Sus scrofa: one gene and its partner. The protein of the gene in region 1 interacts with the protein of each later gene in a pairwise test. Links are inferred from orthologs where the notes say so. Each region holds a gene or a part of one and is shown on either strand. Other genes may lie near its edges. The genes, in order: RBSN and EHD1.

The links.
Region 2: the proteins of RBSN (region 1) and EHD1 interact in binary tests that used the Homo sapiens proteins (3 or more experiments, as listed by UniProt). The link is inferred for Sus scrofa from reciprocal best matches to the Homo sapiens genes RBSN and EHD1.

What each region holds. Positions count from the first base shown.
Region 1 is NC_010455.5:69,399,958-69,409,371, reverse strand, and holds the start of RBSN (rabenosyn-5), read right to left. Parts: upstream 5,378-9,414; 5' UTR 5,254-5,377; intron 3,382-5,253; 5' UTR 3,209-3,381; coding exon 3,061-3,208; intron 1-3,060. UniProt on the Homo sapiens protein: Rab4/Rab5 effector protein acting in early endocytic membrane fusion and membrane trafficking of recycling endosomes. Required for endosome fusion either homotypically or with clathrin coated vesicles.
Region 2 is NC_010444.4:7,316,360-7,324,637, reverse strand, and holds the end of EHD1 (EH domain-containing protein 1), read right to left. Parts: intron 5,722-8,278; coding exon 5,557-5,721; intron 5,103-5,556; coding exon 4,578-5,102; 3' UTR 3,058-4,577; downstream 1-3,057. UniProt on the Homo sapiens protein: ATP- and membrane-binding protein that controls membrane reorganization/tubulation upon ATP hydrolysis. In vitro causes vesiculation of endocytic membranes. Acts in early endocytic membrane fusion and membrane trafficking of recycling endosomes.

The DNA of each region.
Region 1 (9,414 bases):
ACATTAAAAATACTCCCACAGCTGTTCAGAAATCTAGGTAAATGCAGATATGGAGGGGCTGGTAGGCAAGGGGTTAAACTGATAAAGCCTTAGATATAATTTTGTTAGATAGTCACTCTGAGATGGCTTTCCCAATTGGAAAAATAAGGCCCGCCAAAACTAAAGGACACCTTCTAAAATGTATTAAAGTAGTCCTTTTTCTTTTTTTGTCTTTTTGTCTTTTCTAGGGCCACTCCTGAGGCACATGGAGGTTCCCAGGCTAGGGGTCGAATCGGAGCTGTAGCTGCTGGCCTACGCCAGAGCCACAGCAACGCAGGATCCCAGCCGCGTCTTCGACCTACACCACAGCTCACGGCAACGCCAGATCCTCAACCCACTGAGCGAGGCCAGGGATCGAATCCACAACCTGATGGTTCCTAGTCGGATTTATTAACCACTGAGCCAGGACGGGAACTCCAAAGTAGTCCTTCTTAACAACGAAAGAGGAAACTGCCTGAGGCAACAAAGAATTTAGCAGACAGGAAGCTGGAATTAGCAAACACCAATTCATTTTTGCAAACAAGGGTAAACTGTTGAGTTCAACAGGCAACCATGCCATTTAACCACTTTAGGAGGCAGAGAAGAGCTGTGTGGCAACCTTCTCAGGATGGGTGTAGTCCTTCAAGAGGGGGCCAATTAAGAATAATACCACATTTTTAAAACACAAAGCCACAGTTCATTTCAACCACCTTTTCTTCTACTTACTGTACATAGGCTAAACTGATGCTGAACCAGAGTTGGGGCCCAAACTCATAGACCATGTTTTTTTTATGATGACAAGTTTATATTTTCTTTTTTCTTTCTTTCTTGTTTTTTAGGGCCGCACCAGAGACATATGGAGGTTCCCACGCTAGGGGTCTAATCGGAGCTACAGCTGCCAGCCTATGCCACAGCATAGGCAACGTCAGATCTGAGCTATGTCTGTGACCTACACCACAGCTCATGGCAATGCCAGATCCTTAACCCACTGAGCGAGGCCAGGGATCAAACCTGCAACCTCATGGTTCCTAGTCATTCATTTCTGCTGCGCTGGGATGGGAACTCCCTATTTTCTTTTTTAAACTGTCCCCAAACCTGATACCACACGGTTCACTCTTTAGGCTTTAACATTTCACTTGCCTAAAACTAGCAATGGCATAAGATCGCTAAGAATCAGAACACCAAATGGAGAGGTTAATTTGCGTTTTAAAGGACTTTCCCAAAACCTTTGATGTCAATCTTCAAAATTTTTTCTTCCTTATTCTGAAACATGGAGAACTGCAACACAAGCAAGAATTTCTTCCTGACTAAAGAAGTGATCATTAGTAGTACCGAAGAAATACTTAACTCAATCTTTTAGTTCTGGGGCAGAGATGGGGGAGAAATGGAGGGGAAAACACGTGAAAATTCTTTCAAGTTATTCTCACAAGGAACAAAGTTTCCATTCTAGTATATTCTAAATACATTCCCATATCTATTATTCCCTAAATAATCTTACACATTTTTCCCCATGTAAAAGTGTCAGTCATCCCAGGAATGGGAAGACATTCTCCAATATCCACCCACTGGCATCAAAGTGTTAGTGAGATCACTTATATGACTCAGTTCAGCAGACAGTAAGGCTGGACACTCACTGAAAATCACGGAGGCCCTTTGGTTGTTCAAAGGACACTTTAGATACTCAGTTCATTTGTTTGCTAGTTTTTCAGCTGCTCTCATGCTATGATTGGAATGCAGGGCCTCACCTCATTAAGGACACTGTGTGAAAAGAGCAGCACTTACCTTAGAGGTGACAGAGCTATGGGGTCAAGGCCTAGCTCTGTCACTTCCTGTGTAACCTTATCTAAGTCACTCCATATCTCTGAGCCTCACTTTTTCTCTGTAAAATAAGACCAACCACTTTCCTGAAGGGTTGCTGGGAAAGTCTAACAAAATAACAAAGTATGTGAAAGAATATACATTTCTTTTTCTTTTTTCTTTTGCCTTCTAAGAATTATGACTCTGCTCCAGCATCTACAGCCAGAAGCTATTTCATCATGGCCTCAATATTTTGAAAATATTTGACTTTGTCATATTATTGACAGAAGCTATAAATGTTACTGCTTTTAACAACTCTTTTTCTTCTAAACTGAAAAGTGAGACATGGAGTGAGACTATGTGATTACAGGGGGCATGTGACTACATGTGCAGAAGTCAAAGCCCACTTAGGATACACGATCATTCCTTTCTCTCCCACCCAACAAAGAATCACGAATACAACATTAGACCTTTTAAATCTACCTGCCTTCAGAAATGCTGCCAGCTGTTGGCTGAAGTACTAGGAAAGTGAGTTCCAGAGGAGCAGCACCATACTTAGGGCTTAGAATCTAAAGTCCAAGAAATGAATACTCTATATAGCAAAAATTACTTTGAAAAATTGTTTATGCAGTCCTCCAGGACCTGAGGGTCCTTGAAACTCAAAAACCAAGTTTTAACTTTTTTGGTTTTCCTCTTTACATGTCAACTATCGCCTTCCTTTTCCTGCACTGCAGAGGACATGTTCTAGCTGAGGAAGTAAGTATGGCAGGAAGCCCTGAATTTGTGATAGGTAAATGGGTGTACAATCTGCCTCCACTTACAGAGCAAAGGAAAGGAATTCCAACCCCCAAAGCCTTTTAGGTTGGCAGTTAGAGAATTCAAACAGTCTTGCAAGAGACAGCAGAGCACAGTAATTACACTAAGTTCAAAGCCAGGCTCTATCTCACTGTTTAAGTTCAGGCAAGTTATCTCTGTGTCTAATCTCTCTGTGTCTAGTATCCTCATCAGTAAGAAGGGGCTCATAGTCACACAGTGTGAGAATTAAATGAAGTTAATACAAGGGAAGGTTCTGAATAATGCCTGGCACATAGAAAGCACTAGATATACTAGATATATTTTACTATTATTATTAATTTACTATTGTGTATTATGTTCTGGTGGCAACATGGAAGCTAATGAAAACCATCCCATGAGTTCAAGCTCCCAAAGACAGAATGGGACAAGGAGAAAATTCTCTCCTCTTACTTTTAATTTGCCCTTTGACATCACGGTCTTCCCCAGAGTGCTCTTCCTCATAATGTGACTGCAGCTGATAGAAAGACTGCAGGTCCTTCAGGCACAAAGGGCAGAGGAAGCCCTCTCTCACGTCCCCTGGGTCATCCAGAGAAGCCATGGTAGTGTCCCTCTCAACCCCCACAAGGCAGGGGCCTCATGCCAAGAGTCAGCTTGATTCCTCCACAAGAGACCAGGACTCCCACAGCATCAGCTCAACCAAGCAGCACACAGATGATGGGGACGTGGAATCGTGGTCTTGGATGAGGTTTCCTCTCTGGAGTAGGTGAAGTCCTAAAAAAGGAAAGAAGGGAGAAAAAAAAACAATTCAGGCAAATTAGCGGCAATTGAGAATTTTCCTTGTTCTCTTCACAGTTCAGCAAGGGTACATGATGTTTTTCAGTGCCGCTTTCTGAAAACACAAACTGCCTTCTCAAATTCTTAGACCAAAACACAAAAGCTTCTTGGATATGAGAACATCACTAGACAACAGGTAACTCAATAAAGAGGCAAGCACAGATTCTTGAAGATAAGAGGAAAATATGACTTCAACAGTAATCATAATACCAAGGCAATTCTCTAACACTCATTCCAATGGTCCAACTTCATCATTTGTATGCCACTTTGGCCAATGGGGAAAAGTCAAAAGTAGTGATCAACAAACAGAAGATTTTATTTGACTCCTTTTACCCTATTTATTCAACCACATGTATGGAGCTCTTGCACCTATGTCAAAAAAGAGATAGCATCTCCCCTAAAAACACCGAACCAAACCAAAGAAAAATCTCAACCGTAAAGAAGAGCCTTAGAAACTTTGTGATCAAAAAGAAAAATCTATTTTGTGTCTTACATCTGTAGAGTAGTTTTTCTCAAGTAAATTTACTAGATTTTATGAACCAGCAAGCCTAATGCTCTCACTACTTCAAAAATAAAGGAATTTGATGCTTTAAGAATTCAGGGATTAATAAGTTACATTTTCGAGTATTATCACTTCCAATGTCACTTCACAAAGACTTCCAGCCAGGAGAACCCAGACAAAACCATTCCACAAAAACAAGAAACTTCCCCCCAAGAACCTGAGGCCACAAATTACAAGAGATTGTGAGGCAGAATGAATGTCCCTCAGCTTTGAGCTGTGGATGACCTGCTTAGAGGGCCACCCAGGAGAAACTGATTTCTGGCAATGACCCAGAAAATAAACAAACAAAACACGAGGTCTCTGTGTTCTTCCTCTAACTAAAAAGCCCTACATGCACCTCTCAGCCCCTTTCCCTGATGGTCGCTGAAACAGCAGCTCCTGGCCCCTCCCTAGACAGCGGTTGACCTGAGCTCCCTTCCTTCCCACGCCTGACCCTACCAACCACAATTCCAGCACATACCATCCCCCGCATGCCAAGGCACCCACCCTGCCTCCAGTCTCCTGTGGGGCGGCCCTGCACCTCTCCTCACAGCACTTATCTCAATTTGTAATCACAGGTACACAAGTCTATCAGCCTACAGGTCTGGAGGGCGGGGGCCACGTTCCCCACCACCACACCCCCACCACCACACCCCAAGGTGGGGCTCAGTGCCCCGCACAAACCACCGAGCAGGCAACAACGCTCCACGCATGAGTGAGTGAATGAATGAACGGCCACGACCCGTGCAATCACATAACCAGACACCCACCACAAACCAAAGGGATCGACCACAAACCACAGAGCCAGCTCCCACATCCACAACATATGCGAGCCCCTAACAACTTAAATCACCTCAAAACCACGAATAAAACCTACAGGGCCACGCGCCAGCCACTACGTAACTCAACACGAAGCGCACCCGCCGCACCACTACACAGGACGGGAAAGACTCGTCCTCACAGGGCACACACGACACCTTCACGCGGACGCCATACAAACCCTGAACTCAAACACCTTAACCTCCCACAAGCAGAGACTCAAACACAACCACCTGGGCGCCCAACCGCAGATCCCACAGCCCAGCGCAACCACACAACCAGGGTCCAATCATCGTCGGCCCGTGAGGGAAACGCGGCCCGCGAGCTGCAGCGCCCACCACGCACGTCCCACCCACCACTGCACACGGGTCCCACGCCCCCCGGCCGGCTCCTGAGGGGAGCCGCACCCCATCCCACCCCGCACGCACGCCCAGCCATCGGTACCCCACCGGTTCCCGCGGGCTCGCAGTCCTGAGACCCGAGTTCTGGGCCTCCGCGGCCCCTCACGCAGGAGCGACCGCCATCTCCATCGACTGCTCGGCGCTCGGCAGGCGCGCCTGCGACGGCGCCCAAACCGGAAGGCAGGCTGACAGACGCCGGAAGAGCGCCGAGTCTTCGAGGGGTGGGCAGACTCCCCAGGCACGGACAGCTGCGGCTTCAGCGAAGGCGCTCTTAGAAGTGGCAGGGGGCGGGGGCTCTGCCATTTTACGAGGTTTTTGACGCCCCAGGTTGTTAGGTGCCGAGCATTAGACCCCGTCCCTGACTATGCACACCACTGTACAGATGAGAAAACTGAGGCGTTCCCATTGTGCCCCAACGGAAACGAATCCGACTAGTATTCATGAAGATGCTGGTTGGTTCCATCCCTGGGCTCGCCAGCGTTTGCCAGTGAGCTGTGGTGTAGGTCGCAGAGGCGGCTGGGATCCAGCATTGCTGCGGCTGTGGTGTGGGCCTGCAGCTGTAGCTCCGATTAGACCCCTAGCCTGGGAAATTCCATATGCCACAAGTGTGGCCCTAAAAAGCAAAAAAAGAAAACTGAATCCTGTAGTTCTTTAGCGCTTGACGGGGGTGCACAATGAATGAGGTAGTGAGGCGTCTTTAATGCCTCTTGCACCCGCAACTGCAGTTCTAAGTTAAAGTCAATTAACGCTCCCAAGCACTAGAGAGAAAAGGAACGCTCAAGCCTGGAGGATGTGAAAACATCTGGAATAGAAAGAACCGCATGAGAGTGGGGCCTGGAATGAGAAGGAGTATCGATCCCAGGTGTGTACGTTGCGGTCAGGGAAAATCTGTGGCATTTTCAAAGGGAAGTCAAAACCTCTGTGAGAGAACACCCCACACCTGTTAGAGGAGCTATTATCAAAAAGAAGCATTGGTGAGGATATGAGATGAACAGTTGTGCACTATTGGTAGGAATGCATATTGGTGCAGCCACTATGAAAAACAGGATGGCGGTTCCTCAAAAAATTAAAAAATAAAGCTACTATATGATCCACCAATTCCAGTTCTTGTTGTTTATCTGAAAAATAGGAAAACACTAACTCAAAAGATAGCTGCATCTGCCTGTTGCAGCATTCCTTACAGTAACCAAGAATATGGAAACAGCCAAAGTGTCCATTAACAGATAATGAATGGATAAAGAAAATGTGATAAAATTATATATACAATTTAGCCATAAAAAGGATGAAATCCTACCGTTTGCAACAACATAGATGGACTTGGGCATTAGGCTAAGTGAAATAAATCAAACAGAAAAAGCAAATACTGAAGTTCTCTTGTGGTGCAGTGGGTTAAGGATTCCACATTGTCACTGCAGAAGCTTGGGGAGGTGGGTAGAAATGAGCAAAGGGGGACAAGAGGTACGAAATTCCAGTTATAAGACAAATTAGTCTTGGGATATAATACACAGCATGTTGACTCTAGTTAATAATACTATATCGCATATTTCAAAGTTCCTGAGAGAGTAGATCCTAAAAGTTCTCATGACATGAGAAAAAAAGTTTGTAACTATGTATGGTGACAGATGTTAGACTTATTGTGGTGATCATTTTGCAATATATACAAAGATTGAATCATTATGGTAACTGATATAACATTATGTCCAGTATACCTCAAAAATGGAGTTCCCGGAGTTCCCATTGTGGCTCAGTGGTTGGCAAATCTGACTAGGAACCATAAGGTTGCGGGTTCGATCCCTGGCCTCGCTAAGTGGGTTAAGGATCTGGCATTGCCGTGAGCTGTGGTGCACGTCGAAGACGCAACTCGGATCCCGCCTTGCTGTGACTGTGGTGTAAGCTGGCGGCTACAGCTCCGATTCGACCCCTAGCCTGGGATCCTCCATATGCTGTGGGAGCAGCCCTAGAAAAGGCAGAAGACAAAAAAAAAAAAAAAAAAAAAAAAAATGGAGTTCCCATTGCGGCTCAGCAGATTAAAAATGCAACTAACATCCATGAAGATGCAGGTTCCATCCCTGGCCTCGCTCAGTGAGATAAGCTTCCAGCATCGTTGCAAGCAATGGCATAGGTCACAGATGTGGCTTGGATCTGTTGCTGCTGTGGCTGTGGTATAGGCCAGCAGCTGCAGCTCTGATTCAACCCCTAGCCTGGGAACTTCCATATGCTATGAGTGTGGCCCTAAAAAGAAAAAAGAAAAAAAAAGGATGCTCAGTTAGCCCCTACACCATGCCCTGCACTGTGCTGGGTACCATGGAGTATCTAGGGAAAAAACCTCATCCCAGCCCTTGGGAGCTGTTTGCTTTGTGCCCTGCACTAGCGCTGGCCTTCAGCAATGGCTGGGACACCAGAAGAAGAGCTACACAGAATAATGGGAAGATCCTGAGCTTTGGGGTCAGAAGGTAGCCTCAATTCATGTTCCAGTAGTGGTACTTGATTGCTTTGACTCCTATTATCACAGTCTGTAAAATGGAGATAAAAATAGTTTCCACCTTATAGGATTGTCAAGACTGGGTGAGGTTACATGGGCTGGGGGGAGTGCACTGGGTGGTGTGTGTGTCCCTAACACTGGCTGCACCTCTGCTTCTCTGAACTGGAGCACTGATTCTGCAGCTAGTGTTGGGCTTCCATGAACTTCTGTTTAGGGACTTGAGGCTTCTGGCATGGAGAGCACTGAGTTTTTGGAGAATAAATGCCAGCAAAAGGGCGGTGAGCTAGGTGTTTAGAGACGTGGGGTCTATCCAAGCTGCACCTTACTCTGTGACTTTGAACAGGTCCTGTCCCCTGGATTGGCCTCAGTTTCCCCACCTGTACAGCTAAAATAGGTCCCAAAGCTCTTTTCACTTTACAGGGTTGGGAGGCATGGTCAGGAACCCTGCCCTGTGAACTGACACAGACAAGGAAGAGACTTGCCAACCTGTCATAAACAAAGCAACAGACCCAAATCTGCCTCTGTCACTGGCCTCTGCCTTGGGTCCTGGTAGCCAGGGCTGGGAGTGAAAACACGTTATTGCTTGTCTGGGACCACAGGAGTCCCAGAACAAGCCATGCTCCCAGGCAGGACAATGTCTGTGGTCAGGGGATAAACCTTTTATCAATCCATCATGATTTTTTTCTGTTGTTCTATCATTTACAAATGCTAATGTCACATTTGCCATTTCATTTGTTCAAAAAAGCAATCGCCAGGAGTTCTTTTGTGGCGCAGCAGGTTAAGGACCTGGCATTTTCACTGCAGTAGCTTGGGTTGCTGCTGTGGCATGGGTTCAATCCCTGGTCCAGGAACTTCATATGTTGTGGGCACAGCCAAAAAAAAAAAAAAAAAAAAAAAAAAAAAAAAAAGCACTGGCCAAATGGCCCACAGCTCTGGAAATTATGAAGAATCAGCCATTCTATTGATATTTTTAAGTATGATAGTGGCAAAGACCTTCCTGTGTGCTTTACAATTTATTAAAAGCACTTTCATTATTTAAATTCTTTAGGTGACTCTCTTATTAGTTCCATTTTATTTTATTTATTTATTTTTTGTCTTTTTGCCATTTCTTGGGCCACTTCCCACAGTATATGGAGGTTCCCAGGCTAGGGGTCGAATCGGAGCTGTAGCCGCCAGCCTACGCCAGAGCCACAGCAACGTGGGATCCGAGCCGCGTCTGCAACCTACACCACAGTTCACGGCAACACCAGATCCTTAACCCACTGAGCAAGGCCAGGGATCGAACCCGAAACCTCATGGCTCCTAGTAGGATTCATTAACCACTGAGCCATGAAGGGAACTCCAGTTCCATTTTAATAATAGCAATAGTGATTAATATTTACTGAGTGATTCATGTGTGCTGGTCACTATTCCATGTGCTTTACATGTCTTAATTTATTCTCATACAAACCTATATGGTATTAACTAGCATGTTCCCACCTCATAAGTGAAGGATCTGAGGCACAGAGAGGACAGGTGACTTGCTCATGGTCACACTGATTCAGTACTGGGAAGCCCTCACAACTCCTTCCTCTCTGAAGGTCTGATTTCTGCTTCTCCCTGCATTTTCCAGGCACCAACCATGTACCTGGAATAGAGAGAAAGGGTGTGAGAAAGATAAGGCGGGACAGTCTTGGTCTCAGAGGCAGCCTCCACTGGCAGGAACACAGATCTCATAAGCCAGTTAG
Region 2 (8,278 bases), on another chromosome or scaffold:
CCACGCCCACTTCTCCCTCTCCCCAACCCCAGCACGGCAGGGGTGTGGCTTTTGAAAAGTCCAAGGTCCAAACAGGGGTGGACATATGGTGATTTCATCATCCTGGCTTTTCTTCCAAAAATCTCTGCGCTGCTCCAACAGCCGTAGGGGCTCCCACGCTCACAGCCACAGCGGCTGCAGCCCCATGTGGTTTTATAATCACCAATCCTTCTAGGCGCGCAGGAAGCCAAGCCGGAGCCCCCCTTGGCCACCACACCTCTGGCCCCCGGGCGCCACTAAGTCTGAGAGCCACTTCAGGGAAGGGTGGGTCCTGCCTGCGTTGATCTGGGAGTTGGGTGCGGTGCTGGGCTCCCCCCACCGACCCTCACCCCACCCTGACCAGCCTTCCTGAGGGGCTCAGGAAAGGCGGCCACTCCTGTTGGGCCTTCACAGGCCCCACCTCCGGGCAGCAGGGGTCACTGTTTGCATCTGGGCCCCAGGGAACAGATGGCTGCGCCCCAGCAGGTGGCAGGGCCAGGATTCCACCTCCTGCCTGTGGCCCCGAGGCCTGCCCTCTCCCTGTTTTTGGAGCTGGCTGCTCTGAATGCTGGAGGCAGGACAAGTGGGTGGGCTCCCTAACCTTCCCAGCCTGTTGGTCTTGGGCACGTCCTCTGACCAGTCCATTTGAGATAAGGCACTGGCTTAGATGCATGATTAGTTTTTTGTTTATTGAGGAGTAGAAGAAATGGTTACTACTCTCACATGGAACCTCCAGGTATAAAACAGCTGTGCTGCGGGGCCCAGAGGCAGTGGGTGGGATCTGAGGCATCGCGTGGGCAGGGCGCCCCAAAGTTCTCTGACTCCAGGAGCTCTGGGGCCCCGGGTGGAACTGCAGCCTGACCCCGGACCAGCCTGTAGGAGGGGGCCTTTCACCCAGGATCCTGGCCAGCTGGGATCTGAGGAGTAGGCAAGGGGGAGCCGGCACCCCCAGTTCACACCCACTGCCCTTCCAAACCCCATCAGAGCTGGGAGAAAAATCCCCGCCCCCCACAACCTGTAAAACCCAAACAGGATATGAGCTCCGGGGGAGCATGGGGCAGTTGCCTGCTCTGGGGCCCTCTTCAAGCCTCAGATCAGCAGGCGCTTCCCAGGGCTGGGGCAGCCTTTGGCCACAGCGAAGGGGGTGGGGCAGGCTGGGGAGTGCTGCTCACCCTCCACGCTTCTTTTCTCTTTTTTTTTTTTGGCCGCATGCCACCAGGGAACTCCTCACACTCACGTTTTAAGAGAACCTGTCAGTCCTGTGTTTTCTTTCTTTTTTTTTTCATTTTTCAGGGCCACAACCACAGCATACGGAGGTTCCCAGGCTAGGGGCTGAATCAGAGCTACCGCTGCAGGCCTACGCCACAGCCACAGCCAGGCCAGATCTGAGCTGCATCTGCAACCCACACCACTGCTCACAGCAACGCCGGATCCTTAACCCACTGAGCGAGGCCAGGGATCAAACCCGCAACCTCATGGATGCTAGTCAGGTTACTGCTGCACCATGACGGAAACTCTTGTGTTTTCTTTTTTTGTTTTTGGTTCTTTTTTCATTTTTGGCTACCCTGCAGCATACGGAGTTCCCAGGCCAGGAATCAGAGCCTAGTTGAAGACCTAAGCCGCAGCTGCAGCAACACCAGATTTTTAACCCACTGTGCCAGGCCAGGGATTGAACCCCCAAGATGCCACTGATCCCCTTGTGCCGCAGGGGAACTCCAGCTGGTCTTCTTCGTGCTCCTACAGCTTGCACAGACATGGCCCACTGCCTCTCAGGTGACGCTGGAAATTGAGGGGCTGCCCCAAGCTTTCAGGTCCCCAGGCTGGAGTGAGAGCATTTAATCTTCAGTGTGGGTTTCTCGAACCTGTGTCTATAGCTGCAGACTTTGACGGGTGGGGTGGGCTGTCAGTTTTGGTTTTTTTGGGGGTGGGGTGGGGGCCGCACCCCTGACATGTGGAAGTTCCCCAGCCAGGGATCGAGCTTGAGCTGCAGTAGTGACGCCAGATCTTTAACCTGCCGAGCCACCGGGGAACTCTTGTTTTTTCTTGGAAGGGTAGTTTCCACGTGAAACTTGGGGGTGCATGATGGCTTTGGACTTGGGTGGCTTGAATCTCGTCCCTCGACCCTTGCTCTTCACCTCCCCACATCCCAGGTTCCCAGCGGCGAAATGGAGAGAACGCGAACCTTCGGGTCACGAGGAGCAGGGTGAACCTAGAACCAGGCAAGCCCTGGAAGGGCTGGGAAGCCCCTGCCACCTCAGATGCTGCCATGAGACCAGACACCTGCCACCCAGGCTGGCACACACAGCCTGGCTCTCAAAACCCATAGGCACCTGTTGACATTCTGCCCTTTGCTACAGGTGTGTCTGGAATGGTCTCCGCCCCAGCTGCACCGCCAATCCGCACCCTTCCATGGCGTCGGCTCCCAATGTCTCACCCTTCCCTCTGTGGGTTACAAACGGTGCCCCATCTCTGACATCAGCTGGCCACATCCTTTGTAGTTTCGTTGCTGGTGTTATCTGCTTGATCTGCCTTCAAAGTACTGGCTTGCCAGTCTAAACCACCATGGGGGCAGCACGGAGCCCAGCCTACCCTGTCTGCTTGACCCCTCTCGGTGCCCAGAGCCCCGTGGGTGCCCACCTGTCTGTTCATGGTGAGGGCGGAGCCCAGGTTGGAGGAGACGCTGTGAAGGTCACGGGCGGGGGTGGGGGGTACCTGCTCCTCCAGCCCGGGGGCCGCCTAGTTCTCAGTCATCAGAGGCTCTCCAGACTTCTTCACTGCCCCCCCCAATAAGCTACTGCAGCTCAGCCCCCACCTGGCACAAGAAAGGGGGTCACAGCCCCGTTTGCAGGCCTCACTCTATGGATGGGAGGCAGCAGCTGCCACAGAGCTGAGCATGGCTAGGGAGGGACTGCCACCCATCCTGGCGGGCTTGCCAGTCTGTCCCTGATGGTACTTTGGCCCCCAAATGCTCTGCCAGTGCCAAGCAGGTGCTGTTGGGAGTGGGCCCCAGGGAGAGACAGCTAAGCGCAAGAAGCCGGCTTCGGCACAATTAAACTGTTTTAATGCAAGAAAAAAAGTCTTGTCTTCAGTTGCTTTTTCTTCCCACAGGTAAGGGTGGTTAAGCCATTGCACCTTAAACAGTGAATTCCCGACAAGGATGTTGCTTCCACCCCCGATACCCTATGGAATAGGGGGCCGAGGCCGGCTGGAGGTAACAAGGCCAGTTCCTGGCCACTAGGGCCCGGCAGAGGTCTAGAGAACGGCACTGGGAGGGGGACCACGGTCAGAGGTCAGAGTGGAGTCCCCGAAACCCCTGAGGGAGTGCCTGGTGGGAGGCCTGCTCCCCCGCCGCGGTGGTTCTTCGATGTCGGCTCCAGGCCCTGACCACTGGCCAGCAGGCAGGTCCAGACCCCTGGACGCCGTGCTGGGATAGCCCAGCCGAGGCAGGGCAGAGAGGTGGCCTGAGCTGGCCTCTCACTGGCTCAGGTTTCTCGCTGCTCAGCCCCGGGGCTGCTATTTTAAGGGCATCCAAGTTGAGCAGCGCCCCCCTTTGCTCAGGGAGGAAGGCAGGCGGGCAGGGGGAGGGGTTGGGGGTGGGGGGGGCCCTGGCCTCTGCTGGCTGGAGCACCACGCCACGCCACACCAGGTTCCGGGGACCCACTGCGCAGCAAAGGCAGGGAGGGCGGTGCCACCAGGACATTGCAGGAGGGCGAGGGGAGGAGAAAGCAGCTCTCTCCGGGGGCTCCGGCGGGGTGTGCTCTGCACACACCCCATGTCTGATGGCTCCTGAGTGGAGTTGTCCCCTGGCTGGAGTGTGGGGAAGGAGACAAAAATCACAGCTTCTGAACAAGTGGTTGGGAAGTTACTGGAAAATTCAGTCCAGTAGGAAAGCTGTTAACTTTACAGAAACCTAGCTTATGTATTTCTCTGGAAGATGTGCTCTCTCACACTCGCCCAGCCCCCGCCTCCCCAGAAAGGCAGCTGGGCTTGAGAGCAAGGAGCAGGCCCGTGGACAGGAGGACGCGGGGGGTAGGGGTGGGAGGAAGGCACAAGAACTAACTGAATCTGGGAGCGGAGGGAGAGGGCAGGGCTGGGCGGGAAGGAAGCCCCTGGCCTGGTGGAGCCACTCGGCCTAGAAACAAACGAGGTCCCGCGTCCCCGTCTACATGGTTGCAGCCGCGGGAGGGGTGAGCCGGGCGCCCTCCCCCGGGGCGGCAGGTGCTAGAGAGCCAGCGCAGGAGCCGAGGACGCGCAGGACAGAGGCGGGGTGCGCTGGGGCCGCCAGACGGAGGAGGAGGCGGAGGAGGCCAGAGAGAAGGCTGCCTCTAACGTTATATATTAAAAATATCCGTAGTTCTTATGCACAAAATTCCACCCTTCACATGTAAGGATCACCCCGGCCTCCCTGGCAGCAGCCTTAAGAGAAAGACGGTGGTTTTCCTTTGCGAGCTGCGGCAACAGGGCTCGGTCCTTGTGGGCTTGGGAACCGCCGCCCCTCCGCTCCCCCAGCCGCTGCAGGGCCGGCATGGAGGCGGCCGACTCGGCCGGCGGGGCCGCGGTCACTGGGGCCTCCGCTTGGAGGGCGGGATCAGGTGCGGGGGCAGGTCGGCGGGCAGCTCGTGGCCCTCCAGCTTGACTTTGATGAGGTGGTTGGCCAGGGCGAACTCCTCGTCGTCCAGCAGCCCGTCCCGGTCCACGTCGGCCAGCTTCCAGATCTTGCCCAGCACCGTGTTGGGCAGCTTGGACTTCACCATCTCCTTCTTGGCGTTGGCGCCCGTGATCTTGCCGTTGACGGGCGACAGCGTGTAGAAGATCTCGTCGTAGGTGGGCTTGTCCTTGCCCACCACCCACTCGACGTCGTCAATGCCCTCGCCGGCCCCCTCGCCGTAGCCGTGCCCGAAGGGCCCGTTCATGGTGCCTTCGAAGGCGCCGCCCTTCACGGCCTGGGCGGGCATCAGGGACTCCTCCTGACGCACCATGACCATCAGCCGGGCGATGTCGTTGGCCAGCATGTCGTCCACTGTGTCCAGCAGCTTGGGCTTCAGGGCCTGGAACTTGCTGAAGTCCTGGGACTGCAGGAGCTCCTGCGGTGGGAGGGAGGAAGGACGGGGCTGGGTCAGGCTGCGCGGTGGAAGCTGGGGTGCCCAGGAGAAAGGCCGGCTCCGCGTGGCGGCCCCGATCACTTAGCATCTCAGGCAGTGGTGTGAACTGCCCCCTCCCGGGGCCTCGGTGCCCCCCACTATAAATGAGAGGTAAGAACAGCCCCCCCTTTGCAGCCTCCTTAACTGGGAGGAGACTGGGGTGCCTGGCACGGCCCAGCCCGCTCCCTCCCCCTCTGAGTGAGTCACCACATTCCCCTGCGAGGTGTCACGGGCCCGGGGGGGGGCGGGGGGAGGTCGGCTTCTCCCATCGGGTGGGGCGCTGGTGATTAACCAGGCTGTTTCCATTTGGGGAGGCCCCGCCCCATGGAGCCGGGTTCCCTCGGGAACCACAGCCCCGGTGACCTGAGGCCGCCTCAGGGTGTGGGGGACAGCCCACCTGCATCTTGCGGAGGCTGGGGAAGTCGCCGGGGGAGATCTGATGCTCGCGCTCGATCTTCTGGTAGATCTCGCCCAGGTTGTTGACCAGCTCTTTCTTCTTGCTCTCTTTGCCAAAGACATTGGGCATCTCCTTCTTGAGGGAGCTGATGATGTAGGCGTGGACCTGGGGCAACAGGGACGGGGTGTGCGTCAGGCGCCTCCCGGACACCTTGCTGGGAGCGTGGCCTGCACCCGGGCTGCCCCAGAAAGCTGGGACCAGAACCCGGGACTGCTAACAGCAGCCCAGAGCCCACGTTCTTGCCGTTTCTCCGTGCGCACCTGCCACGCTCCCCGCAAGCCAAGCGGAGCCGCGCCGCGCTGCTTCTACGGGCCTGTGGATGGTTTGGGGACTCCAGCCCGGCCTGTGTGACGCCCTGCTTTATCATCCTGACAGGCTCAGGGGTGACTAAGGACTGGAAAATCCCGCAAGGCTTCTCCCAGATGTTTCCGGCTTTATCTAAACTCAGTACCTTGCTCAGACATTGGCCAAGTCGGGGCGGCGCAGCCTTCCCGTCCTCACAGCGCACCGGGAACGCTGGCAACCCTGCGAGGCCTGGCCCTCAAAGCCCTCCGCCTTGCCAAGCACCGTCCAGCCGTGGAGAGCTGCCGCTCTGCCCCATCAAAGCCCCTCCACCGGCCTGACCCCACCTGCCTGGGCTGGGAGCCTGGCCGAGCACTATCCTGTCCCAAAGACACAGGCATAGCTCTGCCCGTCACAGGCCAGCAGAGAGAGCGACTCACTCCAGGAAGTGGAAACAGTCTCGAAACAGCAGGTGCAGGACAGGACTGGAGAGGACGGGGCTTTCCAGGCACCGTGACTCAGTGTGCCCGGGGGCCCGGCGCGGACACGCCAGCTCTGAGAGGAAGGAGCAGGGGCCCGAAGTCTGCCCCTCATTCTGTCCTGGAAGGAAGCTGAGCGAGAGCACGGGAGGCCCTGTCAGGAGAGGGGCTGGGCGGGGTGGGCGGGGAGCTGCCTTCCCTGCAGCTGAGCAGAGGCCGGGCCGGGAGACCCACTCTCTCCTCCATTCACCGCCCCTCCCGTTTCAGCTCCTTCGCGGCCAGGAGCGGGTGATGGGGATTTTCGCATGGCTTCCTTTTTTCAGAACTAGCTCCACTCACCAGGAAAGTTCCAGAAGTGAGGTATCTAGAGAAATGTGCAGCCCTGCATCCTCCAGAGTGGGATTCTGCACCTTCACCGTGCATACGGGTCACCAGGGGACCGTGTCCGAATGCAGAGTCTGGTTTGGTAGGGCGGGGGCCTGGGAACCTACTCTTCCAGCAAGTTCCAATCTGCTGGTCCAAGAGCACTCTGGGGAAGTGGGGTGGGGACACAGACTGGGATAAAGGATGCGGGTCACTTCTCTTTTTTTTGGGGGGGGTGCTATTTTAGGGCTGAATCTGCGGCATATGGAGGTTTCCAGGCCAGGGGTTGAACTGGAGCTACAGCCGCCAGCCTACACCACAGCCACAGCAACGCGGATCCGAACCGCATCCTCGACCTACACCACAGCTCACGGCAACACTGGATCCTTAACCCACTGACTGAAGCCAGGGATTTGATCCGCATTCTTATGGATCCCAGGCAGGTTCGTTAACTGCTAAGCCACGAAGGGAACTCTGGGGCCACTTTTCTTTACTCAGGCCAGGGAGTACCCAGAGCTACTTGACCTGGGCCTCAAGATGGCATGGGGTGCCCTGGGCCACCGTTGTTTGGACTATGGCAGAGTCCCCAACCTCTGGGCTACACACAGGCAGGCAGCTAGCTCCCTGGGGGCAGGAGTGTGGCCCATGGGGCTCCTCCCGGCTCTCCCGGGACAGAGCCTGCCCCAAGAGGTTTAGGATGCAGCACTATTCAAAACCACACGTCCTCAGGGGACAGGTCCTGTCCGGGTGTCAGATGGGTCCCCCGTGGCATTAATCTTCCTTTCCCAGCCTCCCCGGGGTCCCACTGAAAAAGCGTGGTCAGGCACTGAGATTCCGACCCCTTGAGCAACTCTGATGCTGTCAGCAGGTGCCAGCAGGCCCTGTGCCTCCACGGAGGAGCAGGGACGGTTTACAATGCCTCTGGGGTGGAGGTCACCCAGTGTCCTCTGTGCTGCAGGCTTGCGTCCCACCTTGCTACCAACTACCTCCTGTCCTGGCTTCAGCATCATCTCACGCCCAGGCCCCCAGTCCGACCCACCCCCCAGGACAGCTCCCCAGTCACCGGCTTCTGCAGCATCCCACCCACGCCTACCCGGAGACAGTACAAATAAGGCAAATAAAGTCCTGCTTTCTTCTTTTTCTTTTCCTTCCTCTTTTTTTTTTTTTTTTGTTTTGTTTTTTAGGGCCGCACCCGCAGCATATGGAGGTTCCCAGGCTAGTGGTCAAATCGGAGCTACAGCTGCCAGCCTACACCACAGCCATAGCAATGCAGGATCCGAGCGGCATCTGTGACCTACACCACGGCTCACAGCAACACCGGATCCTTAACCCACTAAGTGAGGCCAGGGATTGAACCTGTGTCCTTATGGATGCTAGTCTGGTTCTTAACCCACTGAGCCCCAACAGGAATTCCCAGCTGTGCTTTCTTTTTCTTTCTGTGCTCTGCTTTCCCCCGGATAGCTGAGGAGGGCCAGGAGGGGGGGGGACCTGCCCCACCGCATGCCCAGCGCCCTGCCCTATGCTTGCTGAGGGCACGT